Linked DNA regions of Alligator mississippiensis. The protein of the gene in region 3 purifies or fractionates together with the protein of the main gene of each other region. This does not show direct contact. Links are inferred from orthologs where the notes say so. Each region holds a gene or a part of one and is shown on either strand. Other genes may lie near its edges.

Region 1 (7,531 bases), on a different chromosome or scaffold from region 3:
GTTTAAAGGAACATTATTAAAGTTTTTAGAAGGAAGTGTAGAAAGCTTAAAGCTAGCCATGTGTGTGCCCTTTTTCCCTTTAAAAGAAGTAATACCAGTTATGTCACTATGCCTGTGTTATACCTTCAGAAATCCACTTATAAAATAAGTGACAATTGTCTTCATTTAAACTGCGTATTTTTTCTGGTTCACCACGCTGAAGTTGGCTGCTTTATTATTAGACATACTTGTGGAAAGGATCCCATAGAGAATTTGCCAAGCTATGCCACTGTTTCATTGTAAGTTTATGCTAAGTCCAACCCAGCACTGGTTGAAGTCAGTGAAGTTTTGTTACAGTACAATAAAAGCCACATTTCAAGGAAAAATTAGTTCTTTATAATTCAGCTAACTTCCAAAAACAAAGGGAAAGTGGATATGTATTTAACACCGATAAACTGCAAGATATATCCCTTTAAGCTGCCAATAAGTATCCGGCTCCTGACAGACAAGTTACAAAGTACACACACACAAGAAAATGTTGTGAATGCAGTGCTGCAAATGAAATTAGAGATGTTTAGAGTCTTAATCTTCTAATAAGAAAAGCTAATTAAGGTGCCAAATCCTGCTAAGAGATACAGGGATTGATACTCTGAAAGCTGTAATGCAGAAAGTTCAGTCTGTGGCGACTGGAGATTAAAGCTGACTTTGTGCTGCTGGAATTCCAGGCTGCCTGGAGACCTGAGCACCCCTTGGCAGGTGATAGAGCAGGGCTGTAGGGCTCTGCTGCTGTGATTAATAGCAATTTCTATGCTGAAAGCGCAGGGACACTCTCTTCCAGGACCTAGACTTAAGGCTTGCAGGCTGCATGTGTTGGTCCTATGTTGATGCCATAGGAAGAACATACCAGAAAAGGAATCTTCCTCTATATAGGTGCATAGATTTTCCTGTGTATATCCTGCCATAGATTTTTATTTGCAGCCCAAATAGGAGTATCGTGTCACTTGTGCCTACTTCAGCCTTACTCTATGGAGTTTAAAAGCCGCCCTCTAATTTATATGCCTTCCAATTAGTCCTTCATTCCTGCCCTACTAGGGCTTGCTCTGTAATTAAAAGCTTTGTCTCCCAAGGTTGCAGTGTGCCCAGTGCTGCACACTAGCTGTTCCGTAGCCGAAGAGGGATTATGCCTTTGTAGGTCTAGCCCTTTGTTTTAGTGTCCTTTGCCTTCGTTAAAAATGCCTGAAATCCAAACAAAACAGTTTATAGTTTACGTGAAACAAAACATTTTTGACAGGAAGTGACTATTTTTATTTGCCTCCAGAAAGCTGAAAAATGTTTGGGGTTCACCCAAAATTTTTTTTGTAATGATCTTTTTCAGTCTAGCAGACAAACCAGAAAATCAAGTGAACTGTAGAGCTGTGACTTCAGGCTGTTGGAGATTTAGCCTGGTGGTTCATTCTGTTCAGATCTAAATACGATAGTAACCCACAAACAATCTGAGGCAAGCTATTTTTAATAAAAAATAACTGTAATACTTATCAATAACGACCAAAGCTGCAACACCATGCTTTCGCATTTCATTGATACTGAAGGACACTGCATGCACATTTCTGGATGCGTCTTCACACAGTTTACAGTAATATCTAATCATTATGCACCCAGGAAAGTGAAACTCTTTATTTCACATTTAAAGTAAAAGTTAAGTGACTTGGGTTGCTGTGAACAAAAATTAAACTCATAGCAAGTCAAATTTTTCCATACCATTGGGCATTCAGGAGTAGCTATTAGGTGATGAAAATAACTCTTAGCCTCACTTAAATATCAGTGAGCACAGCTACAGAATAGTTATCTTAGCAAAAATGTTGCAGTGCTGTATATCGTTCTGATCTGATGTTGGTATAGTTTTCATTCACTAGTGAATTTGTCTTTCTGTATTTTCTTTCTGTACTTTACCAAGTGGCATTGATTCGGTCAGAACAAGGTCAGTTGACATCCTTGCTATTTGGAGGTCTTTTCCCTGGTCTGGAAAAATACCCAGCAAATAGATCTTTTACTGAAGCTCCTGTTGGCTGATAAACCAAAGGAAAGAACGGTCATGGGGACAGACCTGTGTATTCGTATCTTACCACTGCTGTTTCCAAAACGCATCTTTATGAGAACTAGTTTTTGTATAATTGATATCTACTGTCTACACATTCATTCATGTGCCATAATTATGCAGAAACAGATACTAACAATGCACCATAATCACTGCAACTGCGCATTAGCGTAGAGGAACACTTTTTAGGTGATGCTTAATGCGTATTGGATTAATCTGCACATTAGCATGGATTTTGCCAGCTGCGCTAACGCACAGTAGAATTAGTCTACCGGGCATTAAGCATCTTGTGTAGACGCACCTACTAGGGACTATGTGATGCTATTTATAATATAATCTTAAAATCCAGCTATTACTTCAAGGTAGTAATTTCTCATCTAGGTTTCTGTGTGTTTTTAGAGTTCTGCCCTTAAAAAGAAAACTTAGTTAAGAAAAAAAAAAGTCTTCTAAAAATGTTAGTCTCTCTTTTTTAAGGTTATTTTAAGAGGTAATGCTACTTCACACTGCGCGGGGTCTGGGTCAATTGAAGCCCTAGTGCTACTGCAAGAGGTGAAGGAAGAAAACATTACACCTTCTGCGGAGGGTGACTTCTCTTTCCTGAGGAAGGCTGCATCAAGCAACCCAGCCCTTGTTTTTTACTTGAAAAGCATTGAAGCCTTGAAGCTTATCTCTTTACACACACGTTGCGCAGGGTTTTGACCTAGACGTATTTCCCAGACTCCTGCCAAGTTGCTTCTTCCCAGCCCCAATGGCAGCAGGCGTACGCGTACGCAGACATTTGCACCAGCAAAGCAGTGCTGGCTGGTGCCTGGCAGTGCCCAACATTTGCTGGTGTTTTGCCCGTGACTCTTTCCCGGGTCTGATCCGTGGGAGACAGGCAGCCCCTAGCTCCCTGCTTCCGCAGTCTGTCGTGCAGGGCGATGAAACCTCTGGCGTTGGCACAGAGGCGATGCTGCATGGCTGTGGGGGGTGGGGGGGGGGTTGCTTTTTTCTTAGTCCCTTTGCGGGGCGGAGCCTGGCTGCCCACCGCGTGCTCCTCCAGCCTGGCCGGGGGGAGAGCTGGGGGCGGGGCCGGGGGCGGGGCTCCCCCTGCGGCCGCCCGGAAGCGGGGGGCGGGGCGGAAGCCGGAGCAAGATGGCGGCCCGAGTGCTGCTGCAGCCGAGCCTGGGGGCGGCCGGGCCTCGCGGCCTGGCCCTCAGGTGAGCGCGCCGCGCCCCGCGCGGGTGGGGATGGCGGGGGTGGGAGGAGCTGGTTTATTCCCCGCGTCGGCTCCCGGGCCCACCCCGCTCGCGGGGGGGGGTGTTTATTTCTCCTCGGCAGGAGCGGGTCTGACGGGCCCTGCAGGGCCTGGGGGCGCCGCTGGAGACGCGGGTGCTCATCGCGGAGGTCAGCCTGAAGCTCCCTTACGATCGGGCGGGGCGGGGCGGGAAGCGAGGGTCTGCTGGGGACTGAGTCGTGGTGCGCTGGGGTTGCGCTGGTGCGAAGTAGGGTGGCCATCGCGGAGGACGGTCCGGTTGTCCTCTGTTGATATGAAACCCGATGCCTTTATGTCCTCTATTTGTGTCTCCAAGACATAAGGCCGGGACTTGGGGTACGACTTGGGATGCTAGGCTGGGACCATTGGTACGAAACCCGATGCCTTTGCATCCTCTATTTTTATTTTCAAGAGAAAAACAGAGGACATAAAGGCATCGGGTTTTGTATGGATAGAGGACAGAGTAGTAGGAAACCGGGATGCCCCCGGCAAGAAGATGGGACCAGGTGACCCAGTGACCTCTTTCGTAGCAGCGAGCTACGGGATCCTGTTCTCCCCGTTGTGCCGAGCTAGGCGATGCCTTCCAAAAACCGCACCGATTGAATGTGACCTGCAAATTCACTCTGTACTAATTAGGGACACTTTGATCTAATTCCAGAAATGACATTTGGCAGCAGACGTTTCCTCCTTTAGAAGAGCGTTATTGTTCGGTTACACGAGGTTAAAGTTCAGATACTCTGTATGCTTTTTATTTTCTCTGCTTCTGTACTGTAACTCCAGAATCGGATTGATCTTTAAACTGGAATTTTGTTTATAATCCTATTATGTGCCTTATAATATTTCTGTTAGAGGAAATTAAAGCTGTTATTTTGTTAATGCAGATAATTGTGTTCACCTTTTCCCCCAACAAATTTTAAAAGGAGTTGTGGGTTAAATAGCCTTTTGCATCTGTTTTTCTGCCCAAACACAAGCACTTCAAAACAGTGGGAAACTCCTGATACCCCCTGGGGTGGAATTTATCTTGTAGTGTAAACATTTAGTTTTATCTGAAGGTAACTGCATTTATTCTAGAATAAGACATTGTCTTCCAGAACTATGGAACTACGCTACAAAATGTATTTTATTTTTTTTGAGCGTGCGTGTTTAAAAAGACATGATTTATCAGAAGATGTGTTGATTAAAAAATCAGTCCTTAACTGTCTCAAACTGCACCCATTTTCAGAAATGTCAGTGTTGCCAATCTCTGCTGGATGGGAATAACAACAGCAACAAAACAACAATAATAATGCCTTGTTTCTAAAGCACTTTCCAGTTCTTGGTTGAAAGATTCAGTGCAGCTCTAAAACATTACTCATTTGACCATTTCATTGAAAAACTGAGAAAACTGCCTCCACCCCCACCAAATGACTGTCCTAAGCTTCTGGCCACATCAAACCACAAATTCTGTGAATAGTGGTAAAGTTCATATACAGATAAGGAGGTAAACATGCTTGCTGAGCACTTTCATTTTCACTGTTTTACCAATATTATTACCCATTCCTCACAACACCTTCCATGAAAGATAAATACTCATTAACCTTAACTATGAGAGAGGGTTTTTTGGGGAGGGAATAAAGCAGGGTGGTTAAATGACTCCCCCCAAAATAGCAAAGGAAGTGCTTCAGGGGTGGGATCACAACTCATGGATGCCCTGTGAGCCTTTGCAGTGCGTATGGGGACAGAGAAGAGTACAGAACGAATGCATGTCTTCCAGCCCTCCGTGCCCTAGCAGTATTTCTGGTACAAGACACCCTTTTAAATATTTACTTTTAGGAAAGCTGTATAACTTCTACACAATAGAGTGTTTGTTTCTTTGGCTACAGTGAAAAAAAATTAATGCAGTCTCCAGTAAGTGGAGCACTGAGAGGTTTTTACTCACTTCTTTATGTTGAAGGTCACCTCGCTCCCAGTTGTTCTTTCCCTTGCCATCACGTGTTTTTTGCTTCCTCAAAAGCAAATGCCCAAATCTAGTCTGTATAAGTGAACTGCAAAGCATGTTAAAATAAATTCCTTTACTCTTGCTCTAAGATGCAGAAAGCCTACTGGCTCAAAGATTTTATGAAAGAAATTTATTTTTCCAATTTCTTTTTCCTTAATGATTTTCACTGCCTTTTGAGAACCTGAAAGACAGTAATTCATTTAGACCCGGGGCAGGCAGTAATTTTGGGTGTGGGGCTGCATACTGAGTTTTGGCAAGCCATCGAGAGCTGCATGACAGGCAGGGGCAGATAAATATTAATTTTCTAAATTTTTTAGGAGCCCCGCGGGCTGGATAGAATGGTCTGGCGGATCACATCCAGCCCGCGGGCCGCATTTTGCCCACCCCTGATTTAGAGGAACTCCCTGATAGGTCTCCCAGGCATTGATTAGAAGCAGGAGAGTTGTCCTCTGAGGCTGGAGGAATCAGTTGAGGTTTAACCCTCCGGTTGTGATGTCTCTTAAGCATTCCAAACTTGCCAGAATTATTTAGGGAAAAGGGAAGAGTGAGGAACAAAATACTTCTAATGGTGACAAGGAGGAAAAGTACAGTATAAAGAATCAGCATAAGATGAATGCTTTTTATTGTTTGCTTTTCACTTTCAATGCAAGCTCATTACTATTGTTGTGAACTGAACTAATGAATCACATCTGGTAGCTGAGGTGGCCTTCTGCCAATTAGAAAAGAAAAAGTCCCTCTAGTGTACTCAGAGCATGATTACCTGTTATGTTTTTATTGTTTGTTGTTGTAATAAAGTCATAAATAGCTAATTTGAGTGTATCAATTCTGTGAGCACTCAAACATGCTATTCAAGCTTTCATCCATCAAAGTCAGTGCAGTTGTTCCAGAGCAAGAAAAATTGTAAACTGAGCAAAGACAGTGAATCTGTATTCTGATCATTAGAACTGCTCTTACTCTGAATTAAAATCTATGCAGGCTTCAGGGCCCCTGCCACTCTTTAAGTCATTTCCAAATTAGCTTCTCTGGGGCGGTGCATTAGTTTGTCTTTTGCAAAAATTTATTTTATAAAATGCCATAACACACATGGTGTTTTTGCTGTCATTCACAGTGGACAAACCTGTTTATGCATACTGCCTTCTCTGCACCTCCTTTTTCCTGTTGATTATGGGTTTCTTGAAAGACCTAGGCAGGCAAGGTTCTTTGAGTAGAGGTGATATCTTTTATTAGACCAACTGAGTAGTTGGAAAAAAAATGTTGGCAAGCTTTCAGGCACAACAGTCACCCTTCATCAGGCATAGGGAGTCTCTCCTGTTCTGAGACTCCAAGAAATGAAAGACCTCCACATTGTGCTTGAGCAAAGACAGAGTAGCCTTAGTTTTCTCTCTTGGCACGGCTATGATCAGTGTAGGAACAGGCAGGGTTTTATGCCACATATTGTCTTGAGACCTGATATAAACTAGAACAGCTCCAGGATACTAAATGTGTGTCTGACTGTAGTAGTCCATGGGCCCGTTGCATCAACTAAGAACGGCTCTAGCACAGCAGCACTTCACCCACAGCTTGCTGTGCTCCTGCTTCCTCTGCATGCAAGGGGTGTAAGAGGGGCAGTGTTAGGCCAGGTAGAGCAGTTCTGGGCCATCCAGGGATGTCTTTACAGTAAGGATGTGCTTTGTTGAGTACACATGCACCTGTTGCATTGCTAGAGATTAGATAATAGAAAAAATTAGCACCATACCTTTGTATAAGATACAATGTGACTGATTTAAACTTATCTCAGCTGTTTTCAACAATCCTCACATTTTGAATGAACACTCAGTGACTGCATATTCCATTAATGTGTAGGGGACTGGTATCCTCAACTAACAGAGCCGGTGAAGACAGCTGGTTAAAATCACTGTTTGTTCGCAAAGTTGATCCCCGGAAAGATGCTCACTCCAATCTTCTAGCCAAAAAGGAGACCAGCAGTCTGTATAAAATACAATGTGAGTGATGTTTTCATATTTAACAGTTTATTTTCTTTATTCCTTTCCTGTATTTTTCATTGACTTTTTTGGGTTTTTTTCAGTTCACAATGTAAAGCCAGAATGCTTAGAAGCCTACAACAAGCTTTGGTAAGTGTGCATGTTATTCACTGTGATTTTGGACATATTAATTTGTTCTGGGGGAGAGCACTGAAAGCTGGCTGGTCTGGGTTGGCTTTGTTATGAGAAAGTGGAAACCCCTG
Region 2 (7,946 bases), about 73 Mb from region 3:
TTGGCACACGTAGGTACAAGCGGGGCACTCGGGGCGGGGGTGTCATCACAGTAACCCCGTCCTCCCTGAGTCCGAGGTGTGGAAAGTGTGGGCAGCTTCCTGACGGGCAGGCGTGGGGACGACCCGGGTCTGGGCGTGGATGTGGCTGGTCCCCAGGTCTAAGGCACGTGGGCGTGAGTGTTGGCCGGGCACCCGGCCAGGATCGAGCCTGAGCTGCAGGCGCCCCTGGTGCAAGCTGGGGCCCAGAAGCCATCCCCTGCCCCTCTCACTTGGCTAGCACGTCCTGAGGGCTTTCCAGAGGCTCAGCTGTACAGGTCTTCCTCCTGCTCCTCCTCATCCCTCCTGCCCGACGTTCGGCACCACTTGGTCCAGCCCCTGCCTCCAGGAGGGGCCGGAGCAGGGCTCCTGGGTGGCACCCCCGCCGCCGGCGAGCCAGGGGTGCAGCAGGATGCCTGGGGTGCTGAGCCGCTCCGCCGGGGCCTTGCGCAGCAGGCAGCGGATGAGGCACCGGGCGCGGGGCGAGAGGCCGCCGGGGATGGCGAAGGCGCCGTGGCGGATCTTGCTGAAGAGCAGGGTGGGCTCGGCCTCCTGGAAGGGGTAGCGCCCCACCAGCATGGTGTACAGCACCACGCCCAGGCTCCACACGTCGGCCGCCTTCCCCGAGTACCGCGGCCTGGTGTGGAGGATCTCGGGGCCCACGTAGGCCGGGCAGCCATGCTTGTCCGACAGGGCGTCATCGGGGCCGCTCAGGACACACGCGTCCTCCAGGCTCTCCAGCACCAGCCTGGTCCTGCGGGTGTTAGCGACCAGGGTCAGCACGGCCAGAGCCCCCGCCGCGGCCGGGCAGGCGCCAGGAGCCCGGGCACCTGGACAACATTGTGTCCCCCGGGCAAGGACCAGTCGATGGCAGGTCTGATGTTCGCTGTGCCCCCGGCACCCCGCAGCCTGTGCCCGGCTGGAGAGGTGCATTGAGCCTCCCCCCAGGCCCAGCAGCACCCACGCCCCGGACCCGCCCCGCCTCACCTCTCCCGGTCGGCAAAGACGAACTTGCGGAGCTTGAGGTCCCGCAGGACGATGCCGTGCTGGTGGCAGTGGGCCACGGCCTCCGCCATCTGCCGGAAGAGCGCGGCGGCCTCGGCCTCGGGCAGGCGCTTGCAGCGCCGCAGGTGGCTGTGCATGTCGCCATGGCCAGGTGGGAAGAAGATGTAGGCGCTGCGGTCCCCCTGGATCACCTCGGCCACCCGGGCCACGCTGGGGTGCGGCGGGAGCCGTCCGTATGGGGCCATCGCCTCCTGGTAGCTCCTCATCGGGTAGACCTGGGGGCAGCGAGGGTGGGCATGAAGGCGCCAGGAGCAGGGTGGGCTCAGCTGCCTTCCCTGCCCCATCCTCCTAGGGAAGTCCAGTTCTCGCCCAGGCCAAGCAGGGAGGCTCCACATGCAGCCAGGGGTGGAGAGGCCTGCAAACCCCGGGCCATGCAGGGTCACTGCCCCCGGTACACCCCCCTGGCAGAGCCAGTCCACGGGAAGCGCCAATGCATGCGTGACCCGAGCTCCAGAGCCCTCTCGGACCTCCGTACCTTGCAGCTGTACTCGGCCTCCGTGGGCCGGTGCACGGCGCGGTAGGAGCGGCCCCCGTCCCTGGGCTCCAGCAGGACGTACGGCCCGATCTGCAGGACCCTCGCATCATGCTCCTCGGTGCTGGGAGATGGGGCCAGAGGTTGTAGGCAGGGCACAAATCCTAGCAGTGGGCCCAGGCGCGGGCGCTTGGCTTCGGGGCTCTTGGCATCCGGGGCCTCTCCCGAGTCCAGCCGCTTCTTGCCGAGTGGAGCTGTGCCGAGGATCTTCAGCATGGTCACGCTCGTCTGTGCGGGCGAGGGTGGCACAGGGTCACACTTGGCAGCTGGCCATGACGAGGCTGGGTGGGACGGGCAGAGCCTCCCGAGGGGCCCTGCTCCCAGCCCTCCGCCCCCCTGCACCCACGGCCCATGCAGACAGCCCCAGGCTGCTCTTTCAGCGCAATCAGCCTGGCCAGGCAGACCTGGGCACCGAGGGCAGCTGGTCCTGATTGTCTTGGGTTGCTACAGCCCAGGGAAGGACCCCCGCCTCTCCCCCTGGGGAAGGGGAGCGCCTGTCACCACCATGGGAGCACGCGTGTCAGGTGGTGAGCGTGTGTTGGTGCCATTTGATGTCATGGTATAATCACAGCCTGGGGTGGGATGGGGCAGGTCTGCCTGGATCACCATGACGCGGTGTTTGCATGTGTTGGTGTGTGCGTGTGACCTCATGCTCGGTGTGCCTCTGGGTACGAGGTCATACTGTGTGAGGCAGAGGTGCGTGTCAGCTGGCTGGCATGTGTGTTGCCATGACTGCACACGTGTGTGTGTCATCATGGGCTGCACGTGGGGGTGTCCCAGTGCTGGGGGGGTGTCATCATGGTCTGTGTGCCCCTGGAGACCGGCTGTGCCTCACCCCGCTGGCATGCGTGTCACCATGACCATGCTTGCGGTGCTCACTCATGGTGTGTGTATGTGTGTGTGCACGTGAGGGGGGCGTGGCTCTCCCACTCATGGGGTGTGTGTGTGTGTGTGTGTGTGTGTGTGTGTGTGTGTGTGTGCGCATGGGCACCTGTAGCTCACACTCCTGGTGCATTTGCCTGTGTATGTGTGCATAGGTGCGTGCCTCTCTCACGGTGTGCGAGTGTACGTCTGCGGGTATCTGTGTGGCTCCCACTCATGGGGTGCGCGTGTCTGTGGCTCTCATGGTGCGGGGGGGGGGGGGGGGGGCCGCACGTGTGTGTGTGCATGGATGTGTGGCTCACGCTCCGGGAGCGAGTTCGCGTGCCCGGGCCCCGCCCCGTCCCGCACCGCCCCGCACAACCCGCACCGCTCCGTCCCGCCCGGCCCCGCACCGCTCCGCACCTCTGCGTCCCGCGCCGGAGCCGAGTGCCGGAGCTCCTCGGGAGGCTGATGCCCGAAGCGGCGGCGCTTGCACCGCCCGCCCCGCCCCGCGCCGCCCCGCCCCGCCCCGCCCCGTGTCTTGCGACACCCCCGCGGCCCGTTGCACCAGCCCGGCCGGCTCGCCGCTCGGCCCCCGCGGGGGCTGCCAGGCCCGCCCCGCCGGCCCTTGCTGCGGCGCCCCCGGGCCCCGCTCGGGGTTAGCCCGGGGGTGCCGGGTCGGGCGCAGCTGCAGGTCCGGGCAGGCAGCCTCCTCCGTCCCCGTCGCTAGCGCTGTCCCCGCGCCGTGCCCGGCTGAGCCCGGCGTGCGCGCAGGGCCGACCGGCCGGCCGGACCCTCCCCTGGCTTGCGGCGTCCGGCTGCTGGAAGCCGGGCTGGGTTTTTACGGGGTCACGCTCTCCTCGGTTATTTCCCTACCCCTCACAACCTGTCTCCGGAGCTTTCTTCACCCCTTCCGCTGCCCGGGCGCCTGGGATGGATGTGGCGGGCAGCGAAAGCAGCTGTCCATGTGGGGCTCACAGGCTTCCCTTTGCCCTGCCTTCCTTCGCCTGGTGTCTGGCTGCTTCCCTGACTTGCTCCACAGCCCTTTCCAAGTCCGCGTGTGCCCAGAGACAGCACAGCGCCCTGTCCCCAAGGATTTGGCAGACGATGGCACGGCCCCAGAGCCAAGGCCACCGCCGCCTGGGCTGGCAGCACTCAGCAGTGCCTTGACTTTGACCTCGTGTTGGAAGCACGTCGACCGCCCACGGGGCGCGAGCCGGGCAGGGGCTGGCCACTGGGCCTGGAGGCAGCTGCCCTGCTCCATAGGAGGGGCCGTACTGCGGTGATTGTGGAGGCCAAGGTCCCCTCCAGACCCCCGTTGCTGGGGATTTGGGGGGACCCGGGCCTTCCTGCAGCACTGTGCCCATCACTGTGGTGCCTGGGCCCATGCCAGCCCTTGGCTCGGTGCTGGTCTCTCTGACGCCCCCCGCCCCAGCTGCTGCCTGCTGATAAAGACCCCAGCTCCCCCGTGGGCCCAGCCGCCCCCTGTCCCCGTGAGCGCCGCCCTTCCTTCCCGGCCCCGCTCGGCCCCTGCGCGCCTTGCGCCTGGCGGGTTTCCAGCCCTTATCGCTGCAAGTCCGACACAGGCTGCGGGCTTGTGTGGGCTGAGCTCTTATCTCGGCACAGCCGTGGGGGGCGTTGTGCAAAGCCCCGGCCCTGGGGGAGCAGCACCGGGGGGCTGTCAGGGCTGCGGGGAAGCGTGTAGTTAAATGTGGGGTGTGGGGGTGCAGAGAGCTGTTTCCAGCCCTGTGTCCGGCTACGGAAACTGAGACACGGGGCCACTCTCCATGCTCGTGCACTTTCCCACCCTTGGTGTCTCCACCAGCCAGCCCAGCACCCGGAAACCTGCTGGCTCATCCCACCCGGAGGAAACAGGCTGCTGTGTCTGCATCCCATTTGCCCCCACTGGAAGCCACCCCAGGGCTCTGGGGCCATGACTAGAGCTGGCACCGCTGAGCCCAGGGCTACCCCGTGCCACCTCCATGTCCCTTCTGCCTGGAGCGGAGATGCACCAGGATGCACCATGCAACCCCATATGGGGCTGGCATTTGGGGTGCCCGGCTGGCTAGGACTGAGACCCATCACAGGTGGCTGAAGTCCCCACTGCTTCCAGTTGGCTCTGCCCTATGGGTCCTGGAGCCCTGTGGCCCTGTGGGCAGAGCCGTGGGTTTCCCAGAACAGGCCCTGGCAGGGGCAGGGTTTGCCAAAGAAAGGGAAATCCCAGGGCAGGCTGCAGCAGGCCACTTCTTCCCGGCAAGTGAAGCAGGGGTGAGCCGGCTCCAGCTTCCTTCTGCAAAACCACGGCGCAGTGCTGGGAACTGTCCTGGGCAGAGGCTGGGCACGGGTGTGGGGCACAGCAGGGGTCAGGGGGCAGCTCACACTGCTCCATCCTCCCCCTGGCAGCAGAGGAGGGCAGCCGTGTGCTCCTTCCTATGGCATCACTCCAGATGCAATCGCAGCCACTGCGACCAGGTCCGGTGAGCTGGCCGCCCCCTCCGCAGCGTGCCCACACCGGGCTCTGGTGAAGCGCAGCTGCTGGAGATGCTGGTCTTACAAGGGGCAGGGGTCTGTGGGCCGGGGCAGGAAGGAGAATGAGTCTTCCTCTCTCCTGCCCGGAGCCGTGCTTCCTCCCTTCCCTTTGCTGTTTCGGGAAGGCGTGGGTGCAGCTGGGAAACCCCTGCTCCCAGCGGTGATGCAGAGGCAGCTGCAGCCACAGCTGGAGGTGGCCTCTTCGCCCCGGGAAGTCCGGCCCCGTCTGCTTCCGGGGAAGTGGTGCTCCACTCCCCTGCCCTGCCTGCCTGTGCCCGTCTCCTCCTGCTCTCAGCCTGCTCTCCCCCGGCTCTTGCTGCTGGTGCCAGGCCAGGAGACCATGCCCTTCTGGCTCTGGACTGTGCCAGGTCAAGCTTGCAGCTCCCAGGGGTGCCTGGGCCCCAGCTGCACTGCGCATGCTGGTGGGGGTAGAAGCTCACCGCCCGGGCTGTCAGTGCATCTCGGCGAGCCTAGATGCGGGGTACTGCCCTGACCCGGCCGTGGAGCAGCCAGCCCCTGATGCTGCCACCGAGGTGCCCAGGGCTGAGTTGGGCTCATCCTAGAGACCAGGCTCCCTGCAGAGCTGGGGTCCAGCCAGCAGCGCTTGGGCTGGGGGGATGCTGGAGCCTGTCCTTGCCCCGGGTCTGGTGCATCATTGGCCCCTGGTGTCTGCAGAGCAGACGGGGCTGAAGGAAGGAGAGGGAGCAGCCAGGCCAGGCGCTGCCTTTGACTCATGCCCAGACCCCGACAGACTGGCAGTGGGCTGCCGTCTCCTGGGGAGCAGGAGGGAGCCAGCCTGGGCTGTGCGAGGGACAGGCCACGCAGATCCTTCTGGTGCAAACAGCCTGTTCTCCGCGGCCGGGGCTCTGAGGCTGCCCCGCTCTGTGCCAGCTCCCCAGGGAGGGTGTCCAGTCCACGTGGGCTTTGCCAGCCCAGGCTTTGTCCTGCTGCTTTTGTGTTCGCCCAGGGGAGGCGGGCACAGGCACAAAGGCAGTACCTGGGTGACAAGCTTTGCCATCGCTCTGGGCTCAGACAATGCCCCAGCTGGTGTCAGAGGGAGCTGTGCCCGGGCACGGGCTGTGGGAGCTTTGCCTGGCACGGGACTCCACACTTCATGCTCCGTCCCCGCTGGCTGCAGAGCAGAGACGAGGGTTTGCAGGGCCCGGCACCGGGTCCCCTTCTTCTGCCCCTAGCCTCATGCTTCAGAGCAGAGCTCCCTGTGCCTGGGTGAGCCCCGGGGTGGCACCGTCTGTGTGCACCGCACCCTGCTTGTGCTCCTGGCACCCGGGCATGGGAAGGAGCCAAGCTGCCCCAGCATGGTGCATGGCATGGGAAGCATGTGCGCCCCCGCGTGACCTCTGCGTGTGCAAGTGTGTAATAAGCAGGCCCAGCCTGTCCTGGAAGAGCAGGCTGGGGAAGGGGCCGCCGTGCCACTGTGGAGAGACCTCTGTTCCTGCCCACCCCAGCTCCACCCTGCATGTCACCTGGCTGGCAAGCAGCCCGGGTACTGCTGTGCCAGGCACGGAAATGCATCTCCCAGCCGTGCCCTGGCAAGCACAAGCAGTGGGCATGGCCGTGGCCTTTCCATGCCAACACACCTGGCACAGAAGAGGGTGGCTGGACGGGCTGGGATGCAGACTCTGGAGTCCTACAGGCCTTGAAGCCGGTTTGACACCTGTTCCCTGCGCCGTTGCACTTGGTCCCAGACGCCCGCCCCTCAGTCCCCTGCTCCTCTCCCGTCCTGTCCTTGTAAACCCGGGGTGCTGAGATGCCCCCTCCAGCTGCCCCTTATCCCGCTGCCTGCCAGAGGTATGCACATTGCATCAGAAGGGGCTATGCAAGGAGCAGCTGGAGTGCACCAGCGTGGTCGGCCAGGCCGTGCCCCGCATGCCCCCCACATCCTGCTGCACCAAGGAGGAGAGGGGGCAGCGCCTGGCCCTGCAATGGGCGAGGAAGCTGAAGGGCAGACAGGCCAGCCCGGACTCATGCAGACAGCTCTGCTGAGACCCCCCACCACTGCCTTGCTGCCGGCTCTTGCAGGGGCTCCCCGGCAGCCTTAGCAGCATTTGGGGCTGCAGCGTGGGGCTGAGACAGGAGAAGGCTGGGGCTGAGCTCTCCTGGGGAGCAGCCCCCGCTCTCTACCCTGGGAGCTGGCTGCAGCTAGGCCTGCGAGCGTGTTCCTCCCTGCAGCAGGAAGGCCCCTTTCCCCATGCCGGGATCTGGCTGCTTACCACGCTCCCCCCCTGGCACCCACCAACTTCCAGCCTCCACTTCCTAGTGCAGCCCTAGGGCCAGCCCCTTTCCCACGGCCCTGGGGTCAGATGCTCGCCCTGGGCTCCATGCAGCCACAGCCACCCCTCCCGGGGCCAAGCCCAGCTCCCCGCACGCACCAAGGCTGCCAGTGGGCAGGGGGCTGCACTCTTAGGCCTGGCATGGTGGGGACACTGGGACCCTTGCAGGTGCCAGGCTGCTGACCTGCCTCGGTGTGCTGGTGTCTGCACCAGGGCATGCATCCCCGCGGGGCAATGGCCTGACCAGCTCTTGGGCAGGCTGGAGCAAGGCAGAGCTGCAGCCAGTCACTGGGGGGGGTGCAGGGCATGCAGCCCCTCACCTCCGGCTGCCCCCCATCCCTGGGAGGGCAGGAGTGCTGGATGCATTGTGCAATCGCCTGCAGCGTTGCAACACACGGCCTCCCCGGCGGTTATGCAATGCCCTGGCTACCTGCCTGGCCCAGCCTGCCGAGGGGCTCGTGGGACAGGATCCTTCTGGCACCAGGAAGCGGGGCCTGGCATGGCGCCATGTGCCACACGTGTACAACTACAGGGAGGGGGTAGGCGTGGAGAGGGCACAGACATGCGACCTGCTGGGGGGGGGCTGCCCCCCTGCACCCCAGCTCTGGCCCCCAAGCTCACCCCAGGGGTGG
Region 3 (7,331 bases):
TCTTGGAGCTAGGGCAGGTGGGGGTCACTTTGCTTCTTTGTCCTCCGTGTTCCACATCAATATCTACCTCAATGCCTAAGAAACCAGGCAGAGGGAAAAGCAATCAGTAAGTTAGCATACAAGCTACAGACTTGGAAGTCCCCTGAAAGATAGCACATTCATTGGAATCTAGTTATTCTGAACTCAAACAGCAAGTTATCATTTTGTTTGACATTTCTCATCTGCAGGGGATTTAAAAATTTAAAAAAGAAAGCTTTCAGTGTGCTTTTATGTTAAGTGAAGCACATGCCAGCCATTCCTGTGCCAGGAAAAAGCTGCTCTCCATTCTCATTTAAAAGGATGAGCAAGCAGCTGTTACATGCACTAACACAGGAGTTAGATGCAGCCTTAAGTCACCTAGTTAGCTCAAGGTTCTTCCCAGTTAAATGCTATCATTTTACCACTGTGTAGTATACTTCTGCAAGAAAGGACACCCTTGGGTCCTTATGGGGAGACTGGAGCCAGAAATGGCTCGGATGTCTTCTAGAGCAGAGGCATGCCACTGTTCCTCTTGGTACAAGATAGGAGCAAGCCCCAACACTGGATTTGAGAACTGCGAGTTAAAAAAAGTCACTTACCCAGGGGACTCAGAAAGGCTGCAACACTCTCCCCGACATTCTTTAGGAAGGTGACATTGGGGTCCTGAGGCTGGCTGTTAGTAGAGGGCTCTAAAAACAAAAAAAACAACTTCTGTTAATGCAAGACAGCAGGTAGGTGCCAAACGCACACTTTCCTCAAGGGAATGAAAAAGCCGGGTCTTGGCAGGCTTAGACAACCCATTCCACCCACCATCCAAGGGAAGTGCAATTCAAGCAGGTTTGCATTCGAAATGGAGACCTAGCGCTTCCTCCCCACTCCCATCCAACACAGACTCCAGCCCACTCCACAGCAGCAACAACTTATCAAACCTTTACTAGTCCGAGCACTTCATTCAGCAGAGCATTCCCTTCTTACCTTGCTCAGGGGCTGGATTTTCCGGTGCCGTACTGGCTTGCTCCTGCCCAGAGTTCTGGCACGGAGCTGAAGGAGTTGGATACCCCCAGCTATGCATCCAGGCAAAGGGAGGAGCACCGTGCCTCATCTTACGTAGCCAGCGACCTCGTGGGAACCACTGAAAGAAGTTGCAGTGTCATTTGACCCCATACTTGGATTACATCCTGGACACAAGTCACACAACAGCATGCAACTACATGCAGTATCTGGAATTGCAAACTCCTCTGGACACCCCCTGCACCAGTCCCTCTCCACAGCAGAAACACTGCTCACCTCAAACGGACTCTGGAACATGACCATGTTGTGCTCCTTATGGAGGCCTTTTCCCTCACAGGTGCTGCACAGGTCATAGTCTGGACAGACAGTGCACTTGAACCTAGCGCCCACCACCGGTCCCTCGCAGCCATCGCAGATGACGTTGGGATGCACCACATTTGGGGGCTGCTCCTGGCTGCACTGTGGGCGATGTTCACGCCTGCACTCCTTTTTCTCTAAAGAGTGAGAGTTTCTACGTTACAAGGAAGCTGCCAGGTTATTTTAAGCCTTTAGGAAACAAGACTCAGCAAAGCTTTCTACATTTGGAGTTCATTAGTACACGGACCACACGAGCCGAATGTGTCCACGATGCCAGCTTATGGGTCATTTGCATTACGCACGCCCTCAACAATGCTCGGGTATCTGGGGACCAGCCAGCAGCAAGCACAGAGCTGGGGAAGAAACGCAACGCTGAAGAGGGCAACATGAAACAAAGCCAGAAAGACTAAGTCAAGAAAGCGTACATCCTCCTTGTGGAGACACTTTTTTGGACAGGATTGTGTCACTGGACACGGTCCACGCTGCACTGAGGAAGAAGCTGCCCTTGCCCCGCTAGCTTGTATGGGTATTACTTGTATTGCTAGTTTCTAGCACTGCTAAACAATCTAATTTTAGCAGATTACGTGCCCCCAAGGTTTCTCTCTCTGAAATAGGTGAACATCAGAGTTATATTATTATCCAGAGAAACATGAAATAATAATCAGTATTATTATTAACCATAGTTTGAAGACAGCGCTCAACTGGGAGGAGGTTCTCCATTTACTTTTGCAGAAAGCTAAACTCGGTTTTGTTTCTTTTTTTCAGTTTTCTGGACTTAAGGGGCCCAAAAAGTTTTTGGGGCTTCACATTTCCAAATGACACTGCTTTCCCCTGGCGAGGTATTTGTTCCCTCCCGAAAGAGGCAAGTCTCGCTCCCCCTTTGAGGCTCCCGCGCGTCTCAAATCGCCGCGCTAGATCTACCGTCCAGCCCCACCGAGCCGTGCCCGGAGGCTGCAGCCTCCACAGCCACGACACCTGCCAAGCGTCTGGATCCACCGTCGCCCGGCAGTTGTTCGCGGGAAGAGGAGGCACATGGGCAGCCCCGCGCTGACTGAGTCGGGGTCCGGCTGCATCCGGCGCGCCCACGACACGCCCTATGTTTCCAGGCTTCTCTCGAGAAGAGGGGGGGAAAAAGAAGTTACCTTTAATGTAGACGCGGAAGATGCCGTCCTTCACGTAGGGCCAGGCCAGCTCCAGCTCCTCGTCGCTGGAGAAGGCGATCATGTCCCCGTCCTCATCTGCGAGAGAGAAACCCAGTGAGCGACCCCCGCGGGCGGCCAGGCCCCTCCGCCCGGGCCCCCGGCCCTCCCCGGCCCGGCCCGGCCCGGCGCGAGGGGTCACTCACGCACCGCGGTAGTGCAGGCGGCAGGCCGCGCCGGCGCCGGGCCGCAGCAGCACGGGGAAGAGCTCGGCCAGGCGGTCGCGCAGCGGCTGGTAGCGCAGCGGGGGGCGCAGGGCCAGGCGCCGGATCTCGCGCACCGCCTCCTCCTTGCCCAGCAGGTAGGCCTTCACCGTCACCGCCGCCGCCGCCGCCGCCGCCGCCATCGCCTCCAACTCCGCCTCCGCCTGTGGCGCAGCAACAAGGCCCCGCAGCACCGACTGTAACCACCCGCCCCGAGCCGGCCGCGAGCAGCGCACACTGCGGGCAGGCCGCCGCCGCGCCGCCTTATAGCGCCGGGGGCGGGGCCTGCGCGGCCACGCCCCCTCGGGCCAGCCCCCGCACCGCCCGCCCGCCCGGGGGCAGTAGCGGGGAGCGGCCGGGCGGGGTGGCTTCGCCGGGTCCCAGCCTGGGCGCGGGGGGCCGGGGCCGGGGCCGGGGCCGGGGCCGGGGCTCTGCGACAGGGAAACAGCGCACAAAGGCACGGGCCGCGCGTGCCCCGGCCATGGTGGAGCAGTCACCATCTGCCCGCGGGCACCACTGCCAGCACGGGCAGAGCCTCTCTGGGGGGGGCACGTGCCCCTCCACACCTCCCAGTGCATACAGGCGGACAGATTCACATCAGCAGAAGGCAACCGGACTGTCCTCTACAATGGCCACCCTACGCCTCATGCCGGTGCTGGGGGCAGCTGGAGAATTTCGCCAAAGGGGCGCACAGGGTGAGGGGCAAACGGCCCCCACTTGTGTCCCGTTGTCTCCTGCCTCGCCGCCCCACGCGGCCCCCACTTGTGTCCCATTCTTGTCTCTTGCCTCGCCGCCCCACGTGGCCCCCACTTGTGTCCCGTTCTTGTCTCTTGCCTCGCCGCCCCACGTGGCCCCCACTTGTGTCCCGTTCTTGTCTCTTGCCTCGCCGCCCCACGTGGCCCCCACTTGTGTCCCGTTGTCTCCTGCCTCACCGCCCCACGTGGCCCCCACTTGTGTCCCGTTGTCTCCTGCCTTGCCGCGCCACGTGGCCCCCACTTGTGTCCCATTCTTGTCTCTTGCCTCGCCGCCCCACGTGGCCCCCACTTGTGTCCCGTTGTCTCCTGCCTCGCCGCCCCACGCGGCCCCCACTTGTGTCCCATTCTTGTCTCTTGCCTCGCCGCCCCACGTGGCCCCCACTTGTGTCCCGTTGTCTCCTGCCTCGCCGTCCCACGCGGTCCCCACTTGTGTCCCGTTGTCTCCTGCCTCGCCGCCCCACGCGGCCCCCACTTGTGTCCCGTTGTCTCCTGCCTCGCCGCCCCACGCGGCCCCCACTTGTGTCCCGTTCTTGTCTCCTGCCTCGCTGCCCCACGCGGTCCCCACTTGTGTCCCGTTCTTGTCTCCTGCCTCGCCGCCCCACGCGGCCCTCACTTATGTCCCGTTCAGAATCAATCTGGAGTTCAAGGGCTGTGCTGGAGCAAGGGGAAGGGCCCTGGCAGGTGTTAAAAGCCAGCCTGCGGGGCTGCAAGGTCAAAGCTGGGTGCCGGGGAGCAGGGCAGATAGCTGGTTCATGAGGGCACTGGGAAGGGGAGAGGGGTCGTTAAGGCCTGAGGACTGGAGAGTTCGGAAGGGATCAGGTAGGTGACAAGGAGCCATGAAGACAACTGCCGGACTAGAAATGCTGGTGCCACGGCCAGGTACTTGGTTTGAAACTTTGGGTGGAGCAGAAGTGAAAGGGGTGCAGGTGCAGCGGTGCGCCCCTGGATCCGCCCTGGCAGGGGCTGCCGTGTGCTGGATCCTGCCCCTCCCCCAGCCCCTCTGCATCCTGCAGCAGCTTGCAAGACTTGGAAACCAGGACTGAGCACAGCGTTCATATGCTCTGCCTCCCGCTGCCTTTTCATCCCGGCACTCCCTTGTGTGTTCACCACTCTGTTTTCCTCCCCTCTTTCTTCCTCTCTTTCCTTCCAGCTCCCAAATTATTTTTCCTCTCTCCAGTGAAGGCCAGCAGCTTCCTGTTGGCTTAATCCTGCTCTTAAAGGACTTCTTCACTCCATGTCCCATTTCCCTGCATACTGAGAAAAACCCAACCCGTTAGCATGGAAGAATTCATAGGTTTGAGTGTTTAGAAAAAAGAAGAAGAAAAAAAGCAAGGGTGTTTGCTGTCCACAGACAGCTCTACCACAAGACAGGGCCGTGTAGGCGTGACTGTTGACATACTTGTTTCCAGCACTTCGTGTTATGGAAATATGATTCACTTCACCTGGGAGTGACTTATCAAGTCTGCAGCACTCTCCAGCAGCTGGCAGTCGGTTCTGCTATCCGGGGCTTGTCAGCAACATTAAGCCCCATTAGTGGAATGCAGCAACATCTGTCCCTCGTCCAGGAGCCTCCTACACCGAGGACTGAGTCTATTATTGATACGTCTTTTTTTTAGCAACACGGCAGCCACAAGCCTCCAGCATGGAGACACGAGTGCTGTGCTACAGCACGATACCCCAGGGCCCTTGTCACAGAGATGGTCACATCTGTACCTCCGTTCTGCCGTAAGCACAGCATCCAGCATCCTTTAGCACTGACACGGTTACACTGCTCCCATCAGGTCACAAGGCAATATTAGTCAGGACGGCTGGTTGGGAGGGCCTCCAAAATCCAGTCTGCTTTATGAAATCCAAAAGATGAGTATGTTAATTAACAAGACCTCTCCATTTGTTTAATACACGCTTTCCAAGGGTATGTCTACGTGGCAAACAGATGTTATTATAGTGCTGGTACACTGGCATTAGCTTTCATCTCACTACATAGGGTAACGCTTGCAAAGACATGGCACTGCAAACTTTAGGGTGGGTTAGCAATCCAACCATGTATCCAGCATCCCCTGCCGGCTTGTATGCTACATGAGCTTAGAATAATTCCTTAGCTAACAATCTCTCCTGAGCCTGAATTTGGAGGTTTAAAAATAGATGCTAGCATAAACATCAGTGACATTAAGGATGACGTTTTGGGGACTTTCCAGGATTGTTGGCAGCACTATTCTCAGATCAGACACAGTTGACAGGATTCTTAATCTGGTCAGACAAGAGTCCAGCTGGCAGAAGATGCTGTCTGTACCTTCCAAGTAAAATTACATAAAGACAAATCAATTAGTATCAGGTCAATGTTAATTTCCTTTCATTTTGGAGGCCCACTGCCCTGAATTTTAGTGATATCATTCTTAACCTGTGATAATGGAGAAGCTTGAGAGGCCTTGTCATTAATTAAATGGTTTTTTAAATTAAAAGATCTGATCTCTCTCGCTCTGTCTTTTAGATGGGGAAATATTTAAAAATGTCTTTTCAGACTGCAAAATATATCCGCTTTCCAGGTAAATCAATTTAGTGTTTGAAAATAAAAGCTGTCATTTTCAAATCCCAATGCCATATTTTTAGCTGAAGAATATTTATTTTTAGAGTAGTCTGAATGACTTGCTTTTTGTTTAAAGTAGCCTACGTTGGCTGATATTACTGGTTTACGTCCATGATCCCACTTGAAGCAATGAGTTAATGTTTAAACACATGAGCAGGAAAATGGTGGGATGTTTGTCATTGAACCTTTGGCCAGGTTTGTAAACACATGTACGGTGCTAACAGCGCTAGACATTGAAAACACTGTGGGGGGGAAGTAGGGACAAGTTCGTCAGTCTTTCCATTTTTCCCCTCTGTCAAATTTGGGACTGATGAAAATTGCTGGCTTGTCATGGCTAATAGACTTGTCTTCTATTTATCCATAGCATAGAGGCAGCATGGATAGCACGGGCCTCTCTGCCCAGGTCTCCCTGACAAGGTCACTCTAGTTCCTTCTGCATGTATCTTCCTTCTTTTGCCGCTATCCTGAGGCTGTGTAAGGGGCCAGTTGTAAACTGGGCTCTTATCTGCTAGGAAATGGTCTTAAAACATCCAGGTTTTTTTACAGGCACCAAACTGCCCTCCAACATCAACTGTTTTGGGCTATTACTAACCTTTAGCCAGGTGGTGCAGAGAGGGTGCTTGTTCCCTGCAGATTTGTTTAGGGCAGGGGTGGGCAAAATGTGGCCCCGGTGGCCAGATGCGGCCCACCAGGCCATTCTATCTGGCCCGCGGGGCCCCTAAAAAATTTAGAAAATTAATATTTATCTGCCCCTGGCTGCCCGTCATGCAGCCCTCGATGGCTTGCCGAAACTCAGTAAGCGGGCCTCCACCCAAAATAATTGCCTGCCCTTGGTTTAGGGGCTGGAGGCTTTCTCTCACGTTCCACAGATGCCCTGAACACTTTTGCCCCTGACTCCTTTACGCACCCACCAAGATCGGGAGGGGCACGTAGTGAAAAGCTTCAAAATGTGAGCAGTGAGAACTTGAACAGGAGTGAGCAGGGAAGGGGACCAGAAACCATGCGGGGTTTCCCCGCTCCTGCCTGCTGTGTGCTGAGTCATGCTAGGTTTGCTGTTGATGGCGTCCTGCTCCTTCCTAATTAAAATATTGCAACAAAAGCAAGCTGGCCCTGTTTGTCATCCACAACCCCCTCAAAGGGCCCCTGCTTTTTGCCTACTTCATTGTTCTGACTCACCTATATCCCATGAGCACTTTCCTTTCTC
Region 4 (7,039 bases), on a different chromosome or scaffold from region 3:
CCTTGATCATGAACTATATGCTCAACTACAAAACAGGACATCAGTCCCAACATTTTGCCTTCTGCTTACATTATAACAAGCATTAGTTATCTGCATATCTGTTAAGTGCATAAGCTGATTACTCTTAAGTGCACAAGAACAGACACACTGTCTAGTTCAGTGGTCACCAACCTGGGGATCCTGATTTACAGGTACATCTCAAAACCTCTTTTGATAAATCCTTGGCTGGGGGGCAGCTGGGCATGTGCGCACGTGCACACCCACTGCCCCCAGCTTCAGCAGGGCAATATGTGGGGTAGGGAAGGGGCAGGAGCCAGATTGAGCCCCCATGGTAAGCAGCTGACCGTGCGGCCCAGCCAGGAGCAGGGGAAGATAAGTGGGGCCCCAGCCCGGCTGGGTGGTGGGAGGATTGGAGCCTGTGGGGGGTCCTCTAAGGGCACGGGGGGGGGGAGGGACTCCCACCCATTTCTTCAGGGGCGGAGGTGGCAGAGGCTGCCATCACTGTGCCTTGAGCCCTGCTGCAAGGTGGCCACATGTGAGTGCAGCTCAGCTCAGCTCAGCAGCGGGGACTCACATGGGGGTGGCCCTAGTCCAGCTGGGTCTGGGAAGATCTGGTCATTCGGAGGGGGTGTGTGGGGGGGGCTCCCATCGCTGGGCACAGCTTAGCGGAGGCCCTGGGGGCCCATGCCTCTCCCCCACCTGTGCTCGGGGTGCAGCGGGCAGCCCACAGCAGCAGCCGCCTCATCCCAAGCACAGGTGGGGGAGGCATGGGCCCTTGGGGCCTCTGACAGGCTGTGCCCAGCAGCAGGAGCCCCTCCCCACATGCTCCTGGACCACGGAGACTTCCAGACCCAGCCGGGCCAGGTCTCGATGCCACATTCCTCTGGCTGCCAGACGGGTGCAGCTCAGTGCAGACGCAGCACAGAAGTGGGATCGGACCCTGACCCAGCAGGGTCTGGGACACTCTGTGGTCCAGCGATGCATGGGGCAGGGTGGGCGTGTGGTAGATCCTGGGGTGCCCTTTAGTTCCAAAAAGTGATCTTCACCGCAAAAAGCTTGGAGACCACCGGTCTAGTCGGTAAGGCAGCAGTGTCAAAGACGTGGCCCGCAGCGTTCTACCTTCCAGCCTGCGGTACTGCCTGTGGGTGTTAGACCGGCTTGAGGTGGGCTGCCCTGCCCCTGCAGGTGCTAGCCCCAGCCCTGTGCACTGCATGAGGTCCACAGTCAGTCAGAGAATGTGTCACTTATGGTACAAGTGACTTGGTCACTCTGGATTGGCCCCGAGTGCCGGATCTGATGCATGGGGCTGCTCTGTAAGCCTGACCTGGCTTGTGGAGTAGCCCTGCACACCTCATCCAGCCCACAGGGCCAGATGAGTTTGACATGTGCAATAAGGTAACCATACTGCCTTTCACTGCATATATAACGAGGACCCATCAAATGTGAAGGCTTCTAAGGCAGCCAGTCCTGAACTGACAAGGCTCCAGCAATTTCAAGACTGCTACTAAAAGCATAAGTAGGGCTGGACTGTTGTAGCTGTGATAGGAGAAATATGGGCAAAGCAAAATTATTTATGATTATATCTTTTATTGAACCAAGTTAATAAAAGGTATGACCAAAAAACCTGTGTTTGTTGCATTAGAGGAATAAGGCGCTCTGAGAAACAAGGTACCAAGTCATAAAGAGGTGTGAAAAGATTAGCCCCTGCTGTTATTGTACCTAGTGAGTATTGGTTGAGCTTGGATAAATATATGCTCTCAGTTACTGTGTGGGGTTTTTTTTTCCATCCTGAGGTTACACACTTAAATGGAGCACAGGTGGACAGGATGAACTGACATGGAAAAATTACACATTTTACAAGCTAAAAGTTGTGAACCAATCTGTGGGATCTAAGGAAGGGATCATAGAGTGACTGCCTAAAATGTTAAGCATTGGATATACTTATTGAGATATGAGATCTCAAGCTGAACATCATCCACCCTTCTTCCTAATAGAAACCCTAGCCACAAACCTGGAGCCACAAACCCAGTCAAACTAGGGCTGGATATTTGGCTGGTCAAATAAAGTGCACTCAATTTACTGGTCACATATTGGTCAAAAATTGTAAAACAATTGCCAATAGGTCCAAATAATACACAGGAAAAAATTCATTAAGAAATGTCTCAAAAAATTGTATTTCTGTCAAGAAAACCAAAAAAAGTGTTTTTTGTAAAATTGCTTTAATGTTTGACTGGTCAAAAAATATGCAGTCAGTTGACAATATTTGACTGGCTTGTCAATCCTAAATCAACTAGATCATAGTCTTCAAACAGGTGCGTCTGTATCCACAGAGCCATGGACCATAACAAGCCCCTGGAACATGAGACTGTAACTTGGGAGGAAGGCTTACAGAAACCCTCCTGTAAATCGGTGGATCCAATTAGGGCTAACGACTTCCAGTTACCATGGTTATTATGTATTTGTATTTCCACATCAGTTGGGAGCCCCAGTTATGTACCAGGATCCCTTGTGCTTTGTATTTATAGGTAAGTGTGCTTTGTACTTACTATTAGAAGGAGTAGAGGAAAAAAAAGAATAATATTCCTCTAATGATATAACATAGCCTTATGGAGTGAAAACAGGAATTAAAGCCTTAGAGGCAGGTTCTGCCACTTATGTTATTTTCATCTTCAGTCCTTTAGGTTTTGGTACTGATGGTATTAGATACAGCAGAGAAGACAGATCTAGCCAATTATTCAACAAACACCCTGATATGATAAGGTTGTCAGATGTAAATGCAATTTTAGCAGATCAAGTCAGGATCAATAAGAGCATGGGCAGGACAATCTGCAAAGAAATCTTGGATGGAAAAGATTCTGATGCCAACTGCAATGATACCAATGTGGGGATGCCAGTCACCCATGTAGGATGCGGGACTGAGTTAAAAAATGTGCTTCTCCAGACTCATATGCATCATAACACTATAACACAACTTTGAAGACCCTGATCTAAGTGTACCAGCATGATGAGTCTTTGCCTTTTTTGTGACTAGTACTGGGGACAGGGCTCAGTGTCGAATGATGCCTGATCTTTTCTGTCTCAAGCAACAGGTGCCAGGGCCCAGGAAGGCTGACAAGTAGGAAGCCACTTAGCAGCCGGCCTGTCCTCTCCAGGTCTCTTCTCTCCTTTAGGCCGGCGGCATGTCAAGACTCCAGTTTCGCAGAGCTGGATTTTGCAGGCACACCAAGCTCAGACCAGGCACCTAGCGCATCACAGGCCTCCCAGGCCTGCGCTCACAAACCCCCCTACCCAACTGACTGAAGCTATTCTGGGAGATTTTTTTGGCCAACGTCGTTAATTGTACTCATGAACGCCACGTGCCCCCGGAGGCTGGGGGGCCCGGCAAGCTCCCGCAGGTGGCGGCGGTGCTTTTCATGGTTTCATAACTAGGGTCAGGAGGGGCCTGAACAGATCATCTAGCCTGACCCCTCCACGGGCAGGAATGAACGCTGGGCTCACAACACCCCAGACAGGCGATCATCCAACCTCCTCTTGAATTTGCCCAAGGTAGGGGCGAGGACCACCTCCCTGGGAAGTTTTGGTGGCGGTGGCAAGCGTGGGGGGTGGCACAGCGACCACCCGCAGGCCAGTAACAATCGCTGGCAGCGTTGGCACAGGGGCACCGGGCACCTTTTCGCTCAGGGGGTGCACATGCACTCGCCTGCACCCGCTGCACATCGCCAACCATCCTACTGCACGGCTTTCAGATGCATGCCGATCTACCCAGCAAGACAAGTTACACAACCCTGCCTGGCAGAGACCTGGCGGGGGGAGCCATCAGCCGCCGGCTTGTCCCTAAAGCGCAGCCTCCAAAAACAATTGGGGTGGGGGAATGCATTGAAGTTTGAGCGCGGCCGCGCGGCACCGCTGCGGGGCGGGGGGTGGCCGGGCTGGACGCCGCCAGAAGTTTCCAGCCGGGCCGTCTCTCCTCCTCCTTCTCCTCCCCTTCCCCTCCTCCGCCGGCCCCTTTGCGCCGAGCTGCTATTTCCAGACCCTTCCACCCCCTCCCTCCCCGCCCGGCCACATAAAGGCTCCCGGCCGCGGTGCACGGCTCGCACCGCCCGCATGAGCTCCGCCGCCGCTGCCGCCCCGCAGCCTCCCGCGCCGCGCATGGAGGGCAGCGCCGAGCCGCTGCCGCCGGGCTGGGAGATCAAGGTGGACCCGCAGACGGGCTGGCCCTTCTTCGTGGACCACAACAGCCGCACCACCACCTGGACCGACCCGCGCCTGCACGGGCCCCAGGTACCCGGCTCTGCCCTCCGCACTGCGGTGCCCGCCGGCGCCCGCTTGCCCGTGCCGAGTCCCGAGTCCCGAGCGGGTTTAGCCGCCCGTGCAGCGAGAGAAGCGGAGACTTGGCACGGGGTGGGTGGGTTTGTTTCCCCTTGTCCTTCCCCTCCGCCTGGCTGGCTGCGCGGCTGGGCGCTCGCCCCTGCGCTCGCCGCTCCTAATATGTCCATGAGACGAGGAGCCTCCAGAGGGGGAAAGAAACGCGCCTGGGGGGGTTTCTAGGTGTCCTTCCTTGCCAACGGGTCTTTTATTTGTTGTTGCTGCAAGGCAAGTCCCTCTGATGGGAGAAGGCTCTGCCGTGCCAGTGGGGGGTTGCGGGGTTTATGCAGCTGCCAGGAGAGAAGGAGCTGGAAGGAGGTGTTCAGAGACCGGTGACAAAACAGCGGGCGCGTCTCTCTCCCTGTGTTCACCCGGCTTCGTTTTGGGTGCTGATCCCGTAAACTTTAGACTTTTGCAGACATTAGGGCTAGAAGGGACCTCATAAGATCATCCGGTGCGGCCCCGACCTTTGCCCCTTGCCTTTTACTTCTGAACATCCTCTTAAGTAATGATGGTAAAATAGGACTGTCCTGGCATTAATGTCGGTAATGACATTAGTACCGTCTCTGGGACGGGGTAGGACATCGGAGGAAAGGAAGCTCCCAGAGCTGCTTAGGCCTGTGCTGAAAGAAGTTTGGGTGGACGCTTTGGAGCCGCACATTTGGCCGGCAGCCTGAAGGCCTGATTGCTTCAGCTGCCAGGGAAGGTTCCTGACGCTTTGGAAACTAGTTGGAACTTCCAGCTGTTGTCTCAAAATGGTGCGGCACTAGCAGGACGAGGCCTGGAAGCGAGCAGGCTGCTGCCGGGTAGTGAAACATTTGGATCATCATGACATGTGCAAACTATTCTGGCGGTCACTGCTGCTTGGCTGTTTTATCAGGGCCATGGTAAGACTTAGGGCCTCTTTACTGAAAAAGGATTGTTGCCTGGGTTGACACATAAACAGAACCCATTTAAAGCATCTTAGGTTTTTTTTAAATTATATTTGGAAGAGGCCTGGAATGTAATCTGATAAACTAGCCTGTAGAAAGCGAATTTCTTTAGTAACTTTTTTTTTTTTTTTTTTGTATTTGTAGTCTTTCATAATGTAGTTTGAAGTAATAAATACAACAGATGAACACGGCATTTTAAATAATGGAGTAAAGCTAGCTTTTTCCTACCGTTTTGAAAATGTAGATCCAAGAACCCAACAGAAAAGGAATATGGTGCTAGACAGAAGTCAGAGGAAATTATAGTCCTTTTTTCAGTGTTAAGTGACTTCTAACCCCACTGGTATAAATGAAATGACATGGTTCAGAGCCAGCGGGAGGGGAGGGGTTGTGTGTGTTTTGTTTTCGCTGCTTTTTTTTTTTGTAATCTAAAATTTTATTGAATGCGGCAGTTCTACCCCCCAAAAAAATTCATTGCTATCTTTATTTTTGAAAGTTTTCTTTTTCAAAGACATATTGATAAGTATTGTTTAACGTCAAAACAATTGTTTTTTTACACCAGTGTAAAGATATCATAGAAAAATATAGTTCAATAATACTGTTAATATTAAATTAAAAAAAATAGAAATAGTTTTAACTTACCTTCATTCAGAATGCCCTCCTACTGTACAATGTGACCCCACACTGGCACTGCTGCGAGGCATGTAATAAATATTTTAAGTTTTGCGCAGTTTTCAATTGTTTTACAGTTAGAGTGCCTTATTTAATGACTTATGTCCTAAACATGTTATCCCTTGGGAAACTAAAAGGAAAAAGTCTGTATTTCAGCTGTTTTTGATCATGCAGAAACAGGACAGTCTTGAACCAAGGTAGTGGATCAGTGTTCTTCATCTGTGATTGAAACCTAATACGTTCTCAGCCCTATTTTATCTTGGCACCTGGGATAATGAAAAATGACACCTTTCCTGCAATGTTTCAAGGATGCTGTTACAAATAGTAGTTTAGGAAAAGGAAAAACTGTATCTTCACTGAGAAAGATACAAACGGGTAATTGCACCTGCCTCTGAGGAGCAGTTATGAAATGACCAGGTTTTCCAATTTGGAAAATAATTATCTATATTTCACAAACTGTAATTTGTATGCTATGGGTTGTTCATCCTGACACAGGATAGTGCTTTCAAACAAGAAAAGGGGAAGCTGTTGATCTTGAATGCTGTTCTCTTATGGGCAAAACGACAACTTCAACTGATATTAATACATCTTTTGCTTATATAATGTTCTGATACAGGCCTTGATTTGGGTCCATTTCTAAATCTTTGCTTCCATTTAGTTTAGGAGTATTCCACAGTAAGGTACTACTTTGCTTTGAAAAGGTCTCAGAATTTGACCTCAAGAAAATATTTTTTTGTTTTCTGAAGTGTGTGCGTGAGTAAAAGTATCATCCAAAAAAATAATGATTAATCTTTACTTTCACACTCAACTCTACGCACAGACTTTCTGGAGCCACATTTTAATTATGAGCCTTATCATAGTGAATGAAAGGAACCAGATCAGTTGTACAGGCAGGAAGAGAACACTTTTCAGAGTGTCTTCTAGTGGTTTCTTGATATCTAGGATTAACTGAAGACTGTAGAACTGAGATGCTTGCTGTTTGCCCTGCTATAATACAATTAATCCTAAAAGGACAACATGTTAATATTTCAGTGATGCTTTATCATTTTGATAAGTTCTTAAAAGCAGTTAAT

What was found. Proteins that work in one complex are often made in the same cells at the same time.
Region 1: the proteins of SQSTM1 (region 3) and NIPSNAP2 purify together in Homo sapiens (affinity purification with mass spectrometry; 4 studies listed by BioGRID and IntAct, with this or other methods). This does not show direct contact. The link is inferred for Alligator mississippiensis from reciprocal best matches to the Homo sapiens genes SQSTM1 and NIPSNAP2.
Region 2: the proteins of SQSTM1 (region 3) and TRIB3 purify together in Homo sapiens (affinity purification with western blotting; 3 studies listed by BioGRID). This does not show direct contact. The link is inferred for Alligator mississippiensis from reciprocal best matches to the Homo sapiens genes SQSTM1 and TRIB3.
Region 4: the proteins of SQSTM1 (region 3) and BAG3 purify together in Homo sapiens (affinity purification with western blotting; 3 studies listed by BioGRID and IntAct, with this or other methods). This does not show direct contact. The link is inferred for Alligator mississippiensis from reciprocal best matches to the Homo sapiens genes SQSTM1 and BAG3.

What each region holds. Positions count from the first base shown.
Region 1 is NC_081837.1:10,248,841-10,256,371, reverse strand, and holds the start of NIPSNAP2 (protein NipSnap homolog 2), read left to right. Parts: upstream 1-4,525; 5' UTR 4,526-4,732; coding exon 4,733-4,809; intron 4,810-7,149; coding exon 7,150-7,289; intron 7,290-7,372; coding exon 7,373-7,418; intron 7,419-7,531. UniProt on the Homo sapiens protein: Protein involved in mitophagy by facilitating recruitment of the autophagy machinery required for clearance of damaged mitochondria.
Region 2 is NC_081832.1:1,754,586-1,762,531, reverse strand, and holds the start of TRIB3 (tribbles homolog 3), read right to left. Parts: upstream 3,007-7,946; 5' UTR 2,908-3,006; intron 1,862-2,907; 5' UTR 1,850-1,861; coding exon 1,577-1,849; intron 1,317-1,576; coding exon 1,024-1,316; intron 791-1,023; coding exon 334-790; 3' UTR 1-333. UniProt on the Homo sapiens protein: Inactive protein kinase which acts as a regulator of the integrated stress response (ISR), a process for adaptation to various stress. Inhibits the transcriptional activity of DDIT3/CHOP and is involved in DDIT3/CHOP-dependent cell death during ER stress.
Region 3 is NC_081832.1:74,668,157-74,675,487, reverse strand, and holds the start of SQSTM1 (sequestosome-1), read right to left. Parts: upstream 3,019-7,331; 5' UTR 2,932-3,018; coding exon 2,736-2,931; intron 2,625-2,735; coding exon 2,529-2,624; intron 1,524-2,528; coding exon 1,306-1,523; intron 1,151-1,305; coding exon 994-1,150; intron 708-993; coding exon 618-707; intron 76-617; coding exon 1-75. UniProt on the Homo sapiens protein: Molecular adapter required for selective macroautophagy (aggrephagy) by acting as a bridge between polyubiquitinated proteins and autophagosomes.
Region 4 is NC_081829.1:87,292,521-87,299,559, reverse strand, and holds the start of BAG3 (BAG family molecular chaperone regulator 3), read left to right. Parts: upstream 1-4,033; 5' UTR 4,034-4,104; coding exon 4,105-4,281; intron 4,282-7,039. UniProt on the Homo sapiens protein: Co-chaperone and adapter protein that connects different classes of molecular chaperones including heat shock proteins 70 (HSP70s), e.g. HSPA1A/HSP70 or HSPA8/HSC70, and small heat shock proteins (sHSPs), e.g. HSPB8.